Arabidopsis thaliana: one gene and its partners. The protein of the gene in region 3 interacts with the protein of the main gene of each other region in a pairwise test. Each region holds a gene or a part of one and is shown on either strand. Other genes may lie near its edges.

Region 1 (4,622 bases), on a different chromosome or scaffold from region 3:
ATCTATACAGATTCCTAGAGCCGTTGGTTGCTCCGGAGAGTGGCCACGTGCTTTACACGCGCACCTCCACACGTGTCCGGTGACGGTCTCGTACCTTGTAAACCCTTTCGCCGGGTCAGAGTGTTTGCTTCCGTTGGCTTTACTTCGTAGCTTCTGCAGCTGAGATGTGCTCAGTGGTAGCATCACCACAATCGTTTTCTTCTTTCTCTCTTCTACATTGTCCGTTTCTCCGATCAAAAACGGTGGCTGATCAAACTCTTTGTGGTCGAACTTTGGGGGCGACACAAACGGTGGGAGCGGTTCACCAGCCCAGAGGATTTTCCGGTCTAGAAATGGAACGGTTTCTAACGGTTCACCGCGCGCGAGTCTTCCCCATTCCGATATTAAGTGAAGCGCGCTTTGGCCATCTACGATCGCGTGGGAAACGTTGACGCTAAGGCTTATTCCACCGCATTTGAATTTGGTTACCTGAGCTAAAAATAGAGGAATCGTTTCGATAGGGTTTTTATAGTTTACTTGCGGCATAAGATTCTCGAATTCCGGCGTAGGAGAGAAGTCTTTGAAATCCGAAAGCTTCCCCTCAGATTCCGCTTCAATGAATTCCACTCCCTCGGCGTTACAATTGAGCTCGAACCGTCCCCGAGGGAGCCATCTGAGACGGCCAGCCATAGGGTAAAAATGGACTAGCACACGGCTCAACGAGGTTTTTAGGATTTCGACTACATTGCCTTGGAAAGATTCAGATGGCTTGTCGTAAAAGTAAAGGGTGGGAATGTGAGTAATTGTACCAACTTGATCCCACTCGGCTAAGGGAAACCTACCGCTCCACGTTGGTTCGGCCGGTACTATAGTGTAAGATTTTCTAAAAGTTATGGGAGCCATAACACAAACCCCCTTTCTTTTTCTCTTCTCTTTTTGAAGTTCGTGCTAAAGTAATGTTTATATAGTACACAGAATCATATGGATTCAACGAATTTTTCTTGCTGTTAGTCAAAATTCAAAAATGTTTTTCTCGTGGTTTAGTTTGTTTCCTTCGAAGCAGCTTAATTAGTGGAAGTGAGAATAAGGTTTAGTTTTGTTGGTTGTATATGATCACGCGTATTACCCTTCTTCTCTATTTTGTTCACATTGTGGATGAATATATATTTCCACGAAAAAATGAAAAAAAACGAGGTAAGAACATATAACATAAAATTCATATCACTATTAGGGAATGTGTTATACTTTTTTATGCAAGTATATTCCAAAGTATAAATTCTAAACTAAATCCTTAAGTATATATCATAAACTCTAAAAAGAAATGGTAAATCCAAAATACTAACTTCATAGCATTAAATTCAAAAGCCCACATCGCCAGTTTTGATTATATCTTCTGAATTTAAGTTGAGTTTATTTTTATAAAGTCATCTTGAAGAAAAAAAATGTGGATGATGTATTTTACACTGTTACACAGTAATTTTAGTTTTTACAAACTAACAAAAAGGAGAAAACAATTCCACTTTCTCCGAGTCTCCTCCTCCAGTAGTTTTGTCTTAATGGGTAATTTGTGGGCCTTTTAAAGCCCAAAATGAGTTATCGTATTAATAAACCCTAGTTTTAAACCCGACCGACTAAACCTTAACCCAGACCCGGACTCGACTGGATCTTCTCTTCTCGCCCCATCTCTCTCTATCGACGATCGAACTTACTTGAGTACTTCTTCTTCTTTTGACCAGAGCTCTCACACATACGAGTCACTATAATGGAAGGCGATCAAGAGACGAATGTTTATACTTTGGTGGCAAGGAAGCCTTCCTTCGATCTCCCAACAGCTTGCCCTAATTGTCTTCCTGCTTATATATACCTGAAATTAGCCCAGCTACCTTTTGAACTTGCGTTCAATTCAACCTTCCCTGATTCAGGTTTGCTTCTGTTTTGATTCCTCGCTTCGTATTTTGGTTGTTGTTAGATTAAGGTTTTGGTTGCGTGATGTGTATCTGTTGGAAGTGAACATTGTTAATTCTATTAGCTTGAATTGAGATTCGAATCCTAGACAAGATAATTTTGAGTTCTGGATTCGAATTCGTACTATTAAGATCCTGCTCTTAGGTTAATCAGAGTTTAGATAGGGTTTTTAGGCAATAGTAATTCAATTTTGAGGTGTATATATGCATTGGTGAATTTTTCTGGATAGGAAGTGTTCATCATAATTTCTTGTTATAGCTTTGGTTGAATTCCTCGTTATCGTAATTGTTAATTCGAAGAGAATGATGATGTTTCATACTTGTTCAGAAGAAATTAGTTGTTTGATTTAGCTATTGAGTTTGTATATTAACAATATCTTCAGAATTTCTATGTTATGTTTGATAATATCTCTAGACACTTCGTAATCCTTTGTTCACGGATTTACAAATTTGTGCATTCAATATTTATAAGCTTGTGTATTGACAATGTTAATCATTTGTTTTTAATATAGATGAACTGCCGTACTTTGAAAGTGATACATATGTTGCATATAACAATGAAGATGGAGGAGTAATTGAAAAACTGAAGAAAGATGGGATTGTTAATCTGGACTCTCAGCTACAGTCTCTTTCGGATTATTTATCTTTGAAGGCTCTTATTGTGTCTTGGCTAGAAGAAGCGCTTACCTATGAGATATGGGTTGGTACCGAGGGGATATCTACATCGAAAATCTACTATTCAGATCTTCCTTGGGTGATCAGCAAGGTCCTGTTTTATAAGCAGACATACTTGGCAAAGAACCGTTTAGGAATCACCAAAGAGAACGCAGAGCAAAGAGAAAAACAGGTCGGGTTTGTTTAAGTTTTGTTGTTACTTTAGAAGACCTGTGGTTTATATTTGTGAGCATTTGAACTAGTTATTAAAGTTCATAGTCTTAAATGTGAACAGATATACAAGAGAGCAAGTGAGGCATATGAAGCTTTGTCGACTAGGTTAGGTGAGCAGAAGTTTCTCTTTGAAGACAGGTATTGCAATCACATTCCGGAACTGGATTCTTTCCCTTAAGCCTTTTTGTAAAAGATTGACAATGTTTATATTATTCTCTTCCCACAGGCCATCGAGTTTGGATGCTTTCTTACTCTCGCACATACTTTTTATAATCCAAGCGTTACCAGTGAGCAGCTTTAAATTTCACCAATATATTTCTCAGTTATGGGTTTATCAGGTTGAATTTAGCCTTAGAACTATTTAGATGAAGTAGTTTTCTTAATGGTGCATGATCAGGTTACATCAGTGCTTCGGTGCAAACTTCTGGAACATAGTAATCTTGTGCGATATGCTGAGAAACTTAAGTCAGAGTTCCTTGAAGCCTCTTCTTCATCTCCTTCACCTCCACTTCACTCATTCCCTTCCTCATTTCCAAGAAAGAGTAAGACACATCTAACCTTCAACGTCCATATCATATATATTTCATCATATTATATATCTGTCATATATGCAACATTCATTGGATATGTTTAAGCCTGTGAAGGAAGTGAATTTCATCTTTTGTTCAGGTTCGAAGCCAAAGAGCAAACCAAAGGTAGAAAAGACCGAAGAGGAGAAAAAATTTAAGAAAAGAGCAAGGTTCTTTCTAGCTGCTCAGTTTCTAGCTGTCGTCATTTACGTATCAGTGATGGGAGGAGGTAGTTCTGATGAACTGGAGTATGAAGATGAAGATGACTAAACTAAAGCTTTTCTTATTAAATGGACCGGTAACTCTCAGGCGAACTCTCTGAGACTAAGATAAAAACATAACCAGTAATCTCTACGCTTTTTTCTTCTTGAACTCTTAGTTATGGAGAGGATACAGATGTGAGATTTAGTCACATTATAATGGTTTTCGACTTTTCGTTCTGAAGGAGAGCTTTTGGCTTTTATATAAATTTCATTGGTTTTTAAGGCACATCATGGGAACCGATTCACCGGATAAAATACCGAGGAACATTAGAAGACTCTTGGTACACATCCTCAGAATCAACTGAACTAACTCTATTTGTCTTACTAAATAATACAAATCTCATCCATCTAAGAAACTATCTTCTGATAGCAAAAGATGATGCCAAAAACCTACCTAATTCTAAACTCTCTAAAACCAAACAAAATTAATAACAAGTACTAGGAATTGAAATTTACATCCGGGGGCTGCTGCTCCGACGCATCGTCTGCTGGTTGGCTAACAAGCTTCGAGTGTTCATCGGCCGAGTTGATGGAAAACTCAGCTAGTGAACTAACTGCAACAGACATTCCATGGCAGAGAACCTTCACAGCAACCTCTGCAAGTTTCTCAGCAGTCATCACAACATCTTCTTCTCCCTTATCAGCCACTACAAGCTCCATGCTTTCTGACCCGGAGTATCTCCTTGACCCGCTTCCACTCCAGTTTGGATCTTCCCTAACTTGCCTTGCATATATTGAACCCATCCCTGAGGCAAAGAACTCAAGTTTGTCCAAAACTGGTTTTTCATTCAAGCTGTTAAGCAACCTTGACCATTGAATGCAGACTCGGTATATCGGGTGAAGACATGAGGATAATCTAACTTTTTCGGGGTCAGGATCACATCTGAAACATCTTAGAAGCCAACCAGATAATGCTTTCATGTAGGATCTCTGAGAGGTGATCCAGAATTCAAAACAGG
Region 2 (5,066 bases), 2.9 Mb from region 3:
ACAACTTCAGGATCGCTTGTCCACAACTAAACCCTATCACTAATGAGTAAGAAAATCCACAAAATGTTGATTCTCCCCAAGTAAAATTCATAGTAAACTACCACTACAAATCCAAGTCACATGCCTAGATCGATGAAATTCGAAATCTATATAACAGGAGAAAGAAGCTGGAGAAATCTGGGAAAAAAATACACAAAGTAACAGACATAAACCTATAGAAATCAACGGATTTGATCTTGCTCGTGGACACCATTTTCGTCGGAGAGGGAGTCAACTAAGAAACAACAGCTGCTTGGCTAAGTTCTAAAAGCTTCGAGGACGAAGCACCTCCCTTGTGATTTATCTTCAGCGTTCAGATTTGAAACTCCTCCCCAATCTACTAAATTACAACACTAGCCCCCTATGCTTTGACCCGTTTCCCATTTAACCCAAAATAGTTTCTATCAGAACAAATTAGTACAAACAATACACAAGTTTGAATTTACAATGATCACCATTAAAGAGCAGAGTTGTTTATAAATCATTCGATCAGAGTTGTTTTTTCTAAGCATTGGTGAAATTAAGATATGAAAGGGAAAACCAGCTAAGTCAAGAACAAAACAGTTCGAATTGCTTATAAGAACATCAAACGTTCCATAGAACATTTTTATTTATATGATACATTCATAACACTTATTCTCTTCTTAACCCTTTGATCCAAACTTTTGGATTCCCGACCATAAGCAAGGAGAACTAACAAACTACATAAAAGAAATAGCACTGTGTGAAAATGAAAGTAATCTACACTCTTTAAACTTCGAGATACTTGATTGCAGTCTGAACATCCTTGTCGCCTCTCCCACTGAAGTTTAATACCACTCTGGCTCCATCAGGTAACGTCGGACAAAGCTTCTCCAGATGGGCCAATGCGTGCGATGTCTCCAATGCCGGGATTATTCCCTCCAACCGAGACACTCTCTTGAAAGCTACACGCATAGATTAGAATACACAATGCAAGTTCTCATGAGTTGTGAAAGAAACATCTAAAAGGAGAAAAATGAAGTGTCAAGTAAGTACCTTCTAATGCTTCTTCATCAGTAACGCTAAAGTATTCAGCCCTTCCCACGTCTTTAAGGAAACTATGCTCAGGTCCGACTCCAGGGTAGTCCAATCTGATAACATCAACTTTTACTCTTTAGATACAGGTGACCAGATACATGTGGCTTAAAACCAACTTTGAACAGAGAAGAATCTCTTACCCGGCACTGATGGAGTGTGGTTCAATGATTTGGCCATCATCATCTTGCAGCAAGTAACTCATAGCTCCGTGGAGTACACCGACATCTCCTTTTGTCAATGTGGCAGCATGTTTGCCGCTGTCCAATCCAAATCCAGCGGCTTCCACACCAATCATTCGAACCTCTGTGTCATCGACAAATTCATGGAAGAGTCCCATAGCATTTGAACCACCACCGACACAAGCAACCAGAACATCAGGCTTCCCGCCCCATTTCTCCATCGCTTGTTTCCTTGTTTCTTTACCAATCACCGCGTGAAAGTCTCTGACCATCATAGGATAAGGATGAGGACCCGCAACGGATCCCAATATGTAATGTGTAGTCTCCACATTGGTCACCCAATCCCTTATAGCTTCAGAAGTTGCGTCCTTTAAAGTGGCTGTTCCAGAGTGGACTCCCCTTACCTACAAGCATCAGACTTAGATAACAATTTGAAAGCATTGCGATTTTGCAAGGTTTACGCAGAGAATTCACATCACCTCAGCACCGAGAAGACGCATTCTGAACACATTAAGAGCTTGTCTCTCCATGTCTTGAGCACCCATGTAGATAATGCACTGCAAACCGAAACGTGCACACACAGTAGCTGTGGCTACACCATGTTGACCAGCCCCTGTCTCAGCAATAATTCGTTTCTTTCCTAGACGCTTGGCGAGAAGAGCCTGAGCCACAGCGTTGTTGATCTTGTGAGCACCGGTGTGGTTCAAGTCTTCCCTTTTGAGGTATATGAGCGGCCCTTCACCGTTTTCACGGCGGTAATGCTCCGTGAGCCTCTCTGCAAAGTAAAGAGGACTTTCCCGACCAACGTAGTCTTTCAAGATCTCTGCTAATTCTCTCTACAGATTCATCAAACATTAGTTAGACATTGCCCAACAAACGAACTAACCAAAAAGACTTCTAACTTACATCACACAGAAGCATGTAATGCTGAAGAAACTAAGAATATGAAATGAATGTCGTTTCCAGATTTCTGGAAAAATACAACACTTTCCCAGAATTACATCCTACATCGCAAACAAATCGATTTGTCCCATACGGCTTAACATTGTTTGGCAGATTATTTTTTAGAATTGGAACAAAAAAATCCGTTTTTTAAACTTTATCACTAGCCATGGCAATGACAACGCTTGAATCAGAAACTCACAAAGCCAAATCATTTCGAATCGATTCAAAAACTATGAACAAGATGGAAACAAAATCAGCAGGCATACCTGGAAATCTTCGTCGGTGGCGAGCGAATAGAAAGCCGTTTCGAGTTCAGAGAGGGCGTGCATTAGAGTTTCGGGGACGTACTTGCCGCCAAACTTCCCGAAACGACCGAATGAATCAGGTCGTTGCCACATAGTCGGATCAGATCCAGCGGCCTTAATCTTCTCCGAGTCCGCCATGACAACAGCTGGGTCCTTAGCGATGGTGCAGGAGACGGAGAACGAAGAAGAGGACCGTGAGCGAGCCGATGGCAGAGGCGTAAATTTGGGGAGTTTGGAGGGTGATCTCAGATGGGTTAATTCGGAAGAAGCTGAAACGGAGGAGGGTCTGAAAGTAGCAGCGGTGCTTGCGGTGGCCATTTAGTGAATCTTTTATCTAGCTTTCAAACACGAAGACAAATGTTTTGCTGACAAAAACCTTGAAAGTGAGGGTTCTTTTTATAGATTCGTTATGTAACACTTAAGTTTTTTGACCAGAAATTCAATAAAATAGTGGAGGAAATCGGTAGTTCGGTACCACGTTAACTTATTTGTGAACAACAGAAAATGAGAGAAGAGTCAGAAGAGGTTGGTGAGAATAGGGCGGTGTACATTTTGGGGGTTGGAGTGTTTATCACATGCCTAATTTTAGTGTTATCTATTTTCTTTTGGTAAACGTCCTCTTTGGACAAAATGACGTATAGCAGTTTTTGCTAATATGATTCAAAGGCTTCTAATAGTGCTAATGAACGACGTACTACTACTCGTTTTGTTTTTGGTGGAGTTGATAAATAAAAGGATTACAAAGACATGTACTTATGGTTAAATTAATACAAATGAACTAACTATATAGTTTTAGTTTAATTTCATGATTTTTAAACGTTTTCCAAAACTTTATTAAGTTTCTTGTATTTTTTATTTTGTACTTAAAATAATAAAATGTGGTTGATCTTTTAATGACCAACATGCAAATAGTCAAAATGACACTAATCGATTACATATTCGAACCAAAAAAAATAAATATCAAATCGGTAAGGTTTGTCTCTTATCGATTTTACCGTCTTAACTTGTCATTTAGGCAGACCTTGTTGGTCCGATGAACCACCAGCCTCTGATCCATTTATGATTTACACACGTGCATTAAACACCAGACGAAGGCCTTTGAGTCGTTGAAGCTAAAAAATGAATGGTATATGCATGCGGACTCACTCGGAAGCCTCTCCAATGTGCATTGCTCGACTCTAACTCCAACAAAGTGTACGTAACGTAACAATCTTAACGACAACCTAAACAACTAATAGCAATCACAATTCCTTAAAGCATTCGTTAGTGTACCATGTAAAATTCCTTGAACCATTCATTATTGACTTATAGTACCATGTAAAAAATTCCTTAATCCATATATCAAGCCATGTTTTTGTACAAGAAACCAATTTGACATTTTGAATAATTAGATTCTTTATTTTTATTTTTTTTAACTTAAATTTTGAAATAAAAATTAACAATCCATAATGTAGAACGTGATGTCTCTAAATTTGATAATGTCCGAACTTATTTGCATGGATGTTTATATATTACACTAGAACTCGTATTATTGATTATTAATTTAAACGAAGTATCACGAATTTAAACTATATTTTCATACTTTGTCTTTCACACCCGATTTTCCGCGACAAATGCAAAATCCAGATACTGAAAATTATGCAATATTAAAATTTGAAAAAATTGAAAAAGTGAAATACTAATAAAATTGAGCGACACATTTCTGATTCCAGTCTTAACTGTTACACTTTCGAGTGTCAGATCTCGTCTTTCTTCTCCAACTCGTCTATCTTCTTCTCCGATTAATCTAATCTCTCGTCGGAGATTTAGAAATGAGCACACCTACAACTTCCGGTTCGGCGGCGAAACCGACGAGACCAGCACGGTCGTCGAGTTTAGCAACTAGGTCATGTTCCAATTCCGGTTCCCTCACTTCGTTCCAAGCAATGGTGGAGCTGAAGCAAAAGATCCTTACCTCAATCTCTAAGCTCGCCGATCGAGATACATACCAGATCGCCGTCGAGGATCTCGAGAAAACTATTCAATCTCTCACTCCCGAAACCCTACCGATGTTTCTCAATTGTCTCTACGATTCGTGCTCCGATCCGAAACCTGCAGTGAAGAAGGAGTGTCTCCATCTTCTCTCCTACGTTTGTAGTCTCCATTGCGATTCGACGGCTGCGCATCTCACTAAAATCATCGCTCAGATAGTTAAACGGTTGAAGGATTCTGATTCTGGAGTTAGGGATGCTTGTAGAGATACGATTGGTGCTTTGTCTGGGATTTATCTCAAGGGAAAAGAAGAGGGGACTAATACTGGTTCAGCGTCGTTAGCGGTGGGTTTGTTCGTTAAGCCATTGTTTGAGGCAATGGGAGAGCAGAACAAAGTGGTACAATCTGGAGCTTCAATGTGTATGGCTAGGATGGTTGAATCAGCTGCTAGTCCTCCAGTTACTTCTTTCCAAAAGCTTTGCCCTAGAATTTGCAAGCTATTGAGCAATTCCAGTTTCCTTGCTAAGGCTTCCCTTTTGCCAGTTGTTTCAAGTCTCTCTCAGGTTTG
Region 3 (5,020 bases):
AAGGGTATTGGAGAAAACAAGTAACCTTAATGGGTTTGTTCTAAAGCTTGCTCCTTTCTGTGATCTTGATGAAGCTCTAAGCTTGGCTCAAGTAGCGGTAGGAATCGTGTCTTCTAATCTTGATGGGGATAAACCGATCGAGAACTGCTCGATCTGCTGTGAAGACCGTCAGTCTGAGATGATGCTATCATTGAAATGCACTCACAAATTCTGTTCGCACTGCATGAAAACGTACGTTGAAGGGAAAGTAAAGACTTCAGAGGTTCCCATCAGGTGTCCTCAAGTGCAATGCAAGCATTATCTCTCAGCAGCGGAATGCAAATCGTTCCTTCCCGTCACTACTTTCAAATCATTCGAGGAAGCAAATGTGTGTAGTAAAAACAATGGGAAGATTTACTGCCCATATCCCAATTGCTCTTTTCTGTTAGACCCGCAAGAATGTCTATCATCAGGAAGGGCTAGCTCAAGCTCGTCTACTCAGTCAGAGAATAGCTGCTGTGTGGAGTGTCCAGTCTGTGAGAGGTTTGTGTGTGTGGACTGTGGTGTTCCTTGGCATGCTTCTATGAGCTGTGAAGAGTTTCAGATTCTTCCAGTTGATGAAAGATACCCAGATGATATTACATTGCATCGCTTGGCAAGGTATAAGAGGTGGAGGCGGTGTCAGCAATGCCGTATAATGATCGAGCTTGCTCAAGGCTGCAACCACATGACTTGCCGGTAAGACACACATATATATCTATGGCTACACATTGTTTTCCGTATCTATACATATTTGAACCACCAAAGTTAGGTTTTTGACTTCCAATAAAATATAGTTAGTCTTGACCCTTTAACTGCAGAATCACGGTATCGTAATAACCATATGATTCTAAGGTTTTTTTTTTCTCGCCTACGTTTAAATCTAGTATTCTAGAGCAAGTGTTTCTTTTGCGATTCTTACGCATATAAATGTCAAAACTCTCTGTGTTTTCCGCAGATGCGGGCATGAGTTTTGCTACTCGTGTGGAGCAGAGTACAGAGAAGGGCAACAGACTTGCACGTGTGCTTTTTGGGACGATGATGAAGAAGAACAAGAAAACGCAGTAGAGGAAAACACAATTCAAGAAGTTGAGCAATGGCCTTGGGACACATTTAACTCAATTCCAACTGTAATGGACGCGTACTCAGAGCAAGAAAGATCTCAGCTTGCTCTGATCCAAAGGTTCTTAGCAGGTGGAGGGTTTAGTCTCAGTGATCACCATACTACTTATCAGTCACCGCCGCCTCCATGTACAGAGTCATCATATGTTGAAGCCGCAATGAAAGATCTTCATCAGCTTCCTTGGCTTGAGAGGTTTGTGTCTGTTATAAGTGATGATTACTATGAAGAGTATAATAGCCAGTGAAAGTAGTAGAATTGTAATTTAATAGCCTTGAGGATCCGGCTTGGTTTGGTTCAGAGAGGCCAAACGAGAGTATCTCACTCTCGAAAGTAATTGTTGGGAGGGTTTTAGATTCTTGATGAACTCAAACAAACGAATTGTGATGAAACTATTTGCAATTATAAGAAGAAGAGTTTGCTCATCTCCATTCTACAAATCCTGCAAGAAAGATTAACACTCTTTTATATTCAGTGTTATGTTATGATATTTAATCTACCAAAATTTGGTTGAAGAACTAATCAAAATGAACTTGGTTAGCATCATCATATATATACCAACTACCAAGTAAAGAAAAAGTTTGATAAATTCAATTATTCATGCTCTTCAAATAAAATACAGAACCCATTAAAAAGGGTCCACTTATCATCAATCTACTCTTGCATTATCTTGAGTTTTTGTGTAGACATAACATAACCCATTTTATAAGTTATGACCTTATTAGAAAGGGTCCACTTATCATCAATCTACTTAGCATTTTGTGTATATTTCTCAAAGCTGACGTTATTTAAGACGTCATAGACCCACTTCACCACAACTCAAGTCGTCTTCAATTGCTGACGACATTGCTTACGGTTTTTGAATCGTCGTCACAAAATTTAGGAGATTGGATTAGGAATTGGCTCTTTCTTTACTATTCTCCAAAGACTTTACTATTTGGTCAGTCTTCTTATTTCTCACCTTTAGCTTTTAGATAAACCTCTGATTTTTTTCTCCCATCTGTTCTGAGATTGTCTTCTTCTTCTTGAAATCTTTTTCATTTGTGCAATGATTTTGAAGACTACCCATCTATTCAGTTCTTTCTCTTATGATTTAAGTTTCATTTAGTTTTTTTTTCTCATCCGCCATTTTCGTTGACTTTTTGAAGCATTTCTCGAATTGACTTTGTTCTTCACATTGATTCATTAGAATGTTCTTTCATAAAGTTTGGATCTTTTCTTCAGGGCTTGATTAATTTCATATCTATGATCTTCTCTGTATTGTTTTTGATCCAATCACTTCTCAAAATTTGATCCTTGTCATTGGATTTAGATTTAGGGTTTTTGTATCCTTGGGGATTTGAAGATCAAAAACAGAGTCTTTGAGTGATACTTCTGGGGAACAAAATGGCTGCAACTGCAATAGAGCCATCTTCATCTATAAGTTTCACATCTTCTCACTTATCAAACCCTTCTCCTGTTGTTACTACTTATCACTCAGCTGCTAATCTTGAAGAGCTCAGCTCTAACTTGGAGCAGCTTCTCACTAATCCAGATTGCGATTACACTGACGCAGAGATCATCATTGAAGAAGAAGCTAACCCTGTGAGTGTTCATAGATGTGTTTTAGCTGCTAGGAGCAAGTTTTTTCTTGATCTGTTTAAGAAAGATAAAGATAGTAGTGAGAAGAAACCTAAGTATCAAATGAAAGATTTATTACCATATGGAAATGTGGGACGTGAGGCATTTCTGCATTTCTTGAGCTATATCTACACTGGGAGGTTAAAGCCTTTTCCTATCGAGGTTTCAACTTGTGTTGATTCAGTTTGTGCTCATGATTCTTGTAAACCGGCCATTGATTTTGCTGTTGAGTTGATGTATGCTTCATTTGTGTTCCAAATCCCGGATCTTGTTTCGTCATTTCAGGTTTGAGATAAAGTTTCTTTGTGATTTTGCTGGTAAATAATCTGTTCTTGATTGGTCAAGGCTGTAATGTTGTGTGTTGTTGTGTCTGCAGCGGAAGCTTCGTAACTATGTTGAGAAGTCACTAGTAGAGAATGTTCTTCCTATCCTCTTAGTTGCGTTTCATTGTGATTTGACACAGCTTCTTGATCAATGCATTGAGAGAGTGGCGAGATCAGACTTAGACAGATTCTGTATCGAAAAGGAGCTTCCTTTAGAAGTATTGGAAAAAATCAAACAGCTTCGAGTTAAGTCGGTGAACATACCCGAGGTGGAGGATAAATCGATAGAGAGAACAGGGAAAGTACTCAAGGCATTGGATTCAGATGATGTAGAACTCGTGAAGCTTCTTTTGACTGAGTCAGATATAACTCTAGACCAAGCCAATGGTCTACATTATGCAGTGGCATACAGTGATCCGAAAGTTGTGACACAGGTTCTTGATCTAGATATGGCTGATGTTAATTTCAGAAATTCCAGGGGGTATACGGTTCTTCATATTGCTGCTATGCGTAGAGAGCCAACAATTATCATACCACTTATTCAAAAAGGAGCTAATGCTTCAGATTTCACGTTTGATGGACGCAGTGCGGTAAATATATGTAGGAGACTCACTAGGCCGAAAGATTATCATACCAAAACCTCAAGGAAAGAACCTAGTAAATACCGCTTATGCATCGATATCTTGGAAAGGGAAATTAGAAGGAATCCATTGGTTAGTGGGGATACACCCACTTGTTCCCATTCGATGCCCGAGGATCTCCAAATGAGGTTGTTATACTTAGAAAAGCGAGGTATTGACCTAGTCGATATATATATTTCTCATAGCTTAAGGTTGATGTCTCTTTATTGAATTCTTGTATGTGTCATTGCAGTGGGACTTGCTCAGTTGTTCTTCCCAGCAGAAGCCAATGTGGCTATGGACGTTGCTAATGTTGAAGGGACAAGCGAGTGCACAGGTCTTCTAACTCCACCTCCATCAAATGATACAACTGAAAACTTGGGTAAAGTCGATTTAAATGAAACGCCTTATGTGCAAACGAAAAGAATGCTTACACGTATGAAAGCCCTCATGAAAACAGGTAAAAGCTTAAGGAAATGTACTTTCAAGTTTTATTCTCTGACCACAAGATTGACTGATTCGAAACCGTTCAACAACGCAGTTGAGACAGGTCGGAGATACTTCCCATCTTGTTATGAGGTTCTGGATAAGTACATGGATCAGTATATGGACGAAGAAATCCCTGATATGTCGTATCCCGAGAAAGGCACTGTGAAAGAGAGAAGACAGAAGAGGATGAGATATAACGAGCTGAAGAACGACGTTAAAAAAGCATATAGCAAAGACAAAGTCGCGCGGTCTTGTCTTTCTTCTTCATCACCAGCTTCTTCTCTTAGAGAAGCCTTAGAGAATCCAACATGATCTTGTCCCAGATAAGTAATGCTACTAGAGATAGTTCCTTGGAAGAAATTAGCTATTTTATAGGTTTTGGTTTAGAAAACAGTGGAGATCCCATTTTGGTATTCAGGTTTATTACATGGTTTAGGTTTGATTTTGTATTAAAGGAGATGGATTTTTGAAATGTATAAAGCAAAACCTTTCCTTTTTGCTTTGCTTCTTTCTTTAGTCAGAAAATTGTAATATATGGAAGTGAAATCGAAGCAACGATTGAGCAGAACGAGAAGCACAAGAAAAATGTTAAGCTAGTTAAAAGATTTTCAAGCTTCTTGCAAGAGAATTACTAAACAGGCACTTTCTCAGGGGAAAGATCCTCGTGTTGAATTAATCTCAATACCAAAATCTAAGCCTGCTTCTGATAGCAAAACAGGAACTAGAGAATAGAGATAGTTCCTTTGAAAAGATTGAAGATCCCATTTTGGCTTTAGGTTCAATTTGTATTACAAGGGATTTTGATTTTTAAAATGTGTAAAGGAAAAATA
Region 4 (2,899 bases), on a different chromosome or scaffold from region 3:
TCGGATCATCAGTTTCCAAGTCTCTCCAAAGACAATTCTAGTTATACTTCAAAAAAAAAAACATTATAAATATTTGTTTGTTTTAATTGCATCACAATTTATGAAAAATTAAAGGGTTTTGGTTAACAAAAAAAAAAGACTAGACTTGTTTGCCCACGTCAGGTCACCTGGTTCTGTCAGAAACTAGATTTGTTCAAAAACAAACCCTTTGTTTATATTTGTACATAGTACACTGGCGTTGGATCCGTATATTCGTTTCCCTTTTTTCTCCCAAAAGCAAACCAAGTTCTCCAATTTTACTATGTCAAACTCTAGAAAGACCAAAACCACTGTTGCAATGTCAATGATTCAGTAGAATTCAAACACTTCTTCATATAATACGCAAAAATCTAAAAGCAAAATCTTTATTTGTAATTTGGTCATTTCACATATAATAATAGGAAACATGACCATAATTGCTTTAAATTTTCTTTCTGTTAAAGTAATTTACACGTCTTACAAACAAAATTCCATTTTAGTCAAACCAAACATCGAATATCATTTACTTTAAATTGTTTTCAAGACTTTTCATTCATCATTAATCGCAAAAATCAATCGGTAACAACATCGATTTTTTTTTTTGATTGAAACTTCCATATTTGTTTTAAAGACAACTCTACATATTGGCATTGATATGAGCCGATAAGAGGATACATCAAACAATCTAAAAAACCTATCTTTCTTTAAAAGCAAATATCTATCTAATTCTACGGAGAGGCAGAGGCAGAGTCTGAAGAAAGACGAGAGAGCTCGTTCATGAGAAAGATGATACGAGAGTGGTAATCACGAGCCTGGTCTAAAGATTCTGCTTCAAGCTCGGCTAGCTGTGAGCAGAGACGCTCCTCCGCTTCTTCCGCCACCTGTGTCCGCCGCCACAACTGCAACATCTCTTTCTTCATCTCCTCCACAGCTTTCTCCATCTCTCCGTTCTTCCGTCGTAGCTCGTCCACTTCGGAAGCCGCCACCGTCACATAGTTTCCTCCTTTCCCCATTTTTAAGAACTTTTAAAGGTTTTCTAAAGATTTCTCCTTTTGGTTATTTTGGTCACTTTGAGTTTTTTTGTGTTTTGTTTTGGTTCTTGAACGTTCCTTATTAATAGGCGTCTTTGAGACTGGGGTTTGGGTGGGTTTTATGTCTAGGTTCAATGTATCTATATCTCTTCTTCTTCTTTCTTATTTCTGGTGAGTTATTTTCTTCCTCTAGATTCTAGAACATTTTCTCTTTTAAATTATTTTCGATATACACGTTGGGTCCAATTAATATTTTGGAATATTTTAGTGGTACCATATAATTGTTTTATTGGTTAGAGACAAATTTGTTTTTAGAGGAGACACGAGATAAGTTATAATAAAAATTTATCAATCAATATAGTAAAATGTATTGGTTCAGTCATAATAACTCTTGTCATTTCAATAATACATATGGCAACGGATTTAAAATGAAAAATATTTGTTTAAACTGATATTTTTTTTTTAAAATGGAGTATTTGCTTTCTAAGAATGAATAAATTTCTTTGTCTAATTGAATAAAGTGGATTAAAACATATTTTGGACCATTTTACTTTGATCTAATTGCTATACATATAAAGTAATGAATATTTCATATTTACTGGACCATAAATACTAGTAATTCAATCTATTTATACAAGTCTAAACTGTAGCTCGTAAGTAAAAGTAATGAACAATTCTTACATTATAGCCCCAATGAGCTGTCAATTTCATCAAAGACAACTATATGTTAATAGATCATAATAATACATCGTCTTAATAATGGTCCTAAACTCAGGAATAAGTTGTGCAAATATGTTTTCATATACGCATGTAAAGAAAAGATTGTGACTATTATTGAAATAACATGAGTTATATTTATATCCACCAACTCTTTATCCTCAAAGAGGATATATATATCCGCTGTATTATGCTAACATTACCATTCTTGCACTTGAAAAATGACTTTAATTAATTGAACATTTTATTACCATGAATTGAACAAAATTTCTGAAAATTGCTTCTGAAGCATCCAATTTTCAAGATTTTATATATTCATTCTAAAAACTTAATTCAATAAACTCATGTAACAACAAACTAATCGTTGAATATATTTTCTTCTCGAGAACGTTGACTGGACACTAAAAGAATGAAAGAGTAGTACTATTTGAATTTTCAATGAAACCCCACTTATTTCAAAGGGGAACTTCTTTTTTTTCTTTTTTCTTTCTTTTCTGTTTTGCTATTTCATAGAATATAGAGAAAATAATTGTTTTCCACTATTTCTCTTAATTGCTAAAAGGCATGTAGAAATCATTTTCTCACCTTTATATTTTCCACTAATATATTCCGCCAATTATAGCCATTAATTAACTTGGAGCAAAGCCTTTGTCGATGTAACCCACATTCCCACTTCTTTCTCTTAACTGGAGTATTGGACAATATCTCCCAAAGTCAAGGGCTGTCACGATTATACAGCTATTCTTGTATAGTTAAAGTTACGGCTACGATTCATAGTTCTTAAATTACTTATTAGCTATTTCTTTAGTATCTTTATTGGTGTGTATGGGGAAAACTAAGAAGACTTTGGTTATGAATGGTGTCATGAAGCATAATAAAATAATACGGTGCGGTTTGATTTTACTCTTGGTCATGTTTTTGTGAATCATATTTGGACAACACACCAACCTCAAGAAGTAGGGTGATTCAAGTATAAACTGAAAAATCATAAGCGTTAAATACCGATTAATACAATCATATATATATTTCGAAACTTCAAAACATTAGTCAAAATTTGATAACTCATTTATCCGTTACTCGCACCAAACTAATTAAGATATCTATTCAGCTTTTGTTCTATTCGTTCTACACCA

The links.
Region 1: the proteins of NPR4 (region 3) and AT2G19080 interact in binary tests that used the Arabidopsis thaliana proteins (3 or more experiments, as listed by UniProt).
Region 2: the proteins of NPR4 (region 3) and TSB2 interact in binary tests that used the Arabidopsis thaliana proteins (3 or more experiments, as listed by UniProt).
Region 4: the proteins of NPR4 (region 3) and LSU2 interact in binary tests that used the Arabidopsis thaliana proteins (3 or more experiments, as listed by UniProt).

The regions. Positions count from the first base shown.
Region 1 is NC_003071.7:8,261,077-8,265,698, forward strand, and holds AT2G19080 (metaxin-like protein), read left to right. Parts: upstream 1-1,623; 5' UTR 1,624-1,741; coding exon 1,742-1,901; intron 1,902-2,455; coding exon 2,456-2,790; intron 2,791-2,892; coding exon 2,893-2,969; intron 2,970-3,057; coding exon 3,058-3,118; coding exon of another isoform or gene 3,119-3,196; exon of another isoform or gene 3,197-3,228; coding exon 3,229-3,373; intron 3,374-3,500; coding exon 3,501-3,670; 3' UTR 3,671-4,062; downstream 4,063-4,622. Other genes in the region: SHT (spermidine hydroxycinnamoyl transferase), read right to left, coding at 1-882; AT2G19090 (DUF630 family protein (DUF630 and DUF632)), read right to left, coding at 4,102-4,622. UniProt on the Arabidopsis thaliana protein: Involved in transport of proteins into the mitochondrion.
Region 2 is NC_003075.7:13,584,343-13,589,408, reverse strand, and holds TSB2 (tryptophan synthase beta-subunit 2), read right to left. Parts: upstream 3,142-5,066; 5' UTR 2,846-3,141; coding exon 2,489-2,845; intron 2,114-2,488; coding exon 1,757-2,113; intron 1,682-1,756; coding exon 1,239-1,681; intron 1,152-1,238; coding exon 1,057-1,151; intron 966-1,056; coding exon 790-965; 3' UTR 512-789; downstream 1-511. Other genes in the region: PDIL5-4 (PDI-like 5-4), read right to left, coding at 1-15, 213-253; TOR1 (ARM repeat superfamily protein), read left to right, coding at 4,339-5,061. UniProt on the Arabidopsis thaliana protein: The beta subunit is responsible for the synthesis of L-tryptophan from indole and L-serine.
Region 3 is NC_003075.7:10,695,748-10,700,767, reverse strand, and holds NPR4 (NPR1-like protein 4), read left to right. Parts: upstream 1-1,975; 5' UTR 1,976-2,524; coding exon 2,525-3,043; intron 3,044-3,134; coding exon 3,135-3,873; intron 3,874-3,954; coding exon 3,955-4,502; downstream 4,503-5,020. Other genes in the region: AT4G19670 (RING/U-box superfamily protein), read left to right, coding at 1-717, 977-1,385. UniProt on the Arabidopsis thaliana protein: Salicylic acid (SA)-binding substrate-specific adapter of an E3 ubiquitin-protein ligase complex (CUL3-RBX1-BTB) which mediates the ubiquitination and subsequent proteasomal degradation of NPR1 in the absence of SA.
Region 4 is NC_003076.8:8,442,726-8,445,624, forward strand, and holds LSU2 (response to low sulfur 2), read right to left. Parts: upstream 1,377-2,899; 5' UTR 1,032-1,376; coding exon 747-1,031; 3' UTR 554-746; downstream 1-553. UniProt on the Arabidopsis thaliana protein: May be involved in defense responses monitoring. Probably implicated into osmotic stress signaling.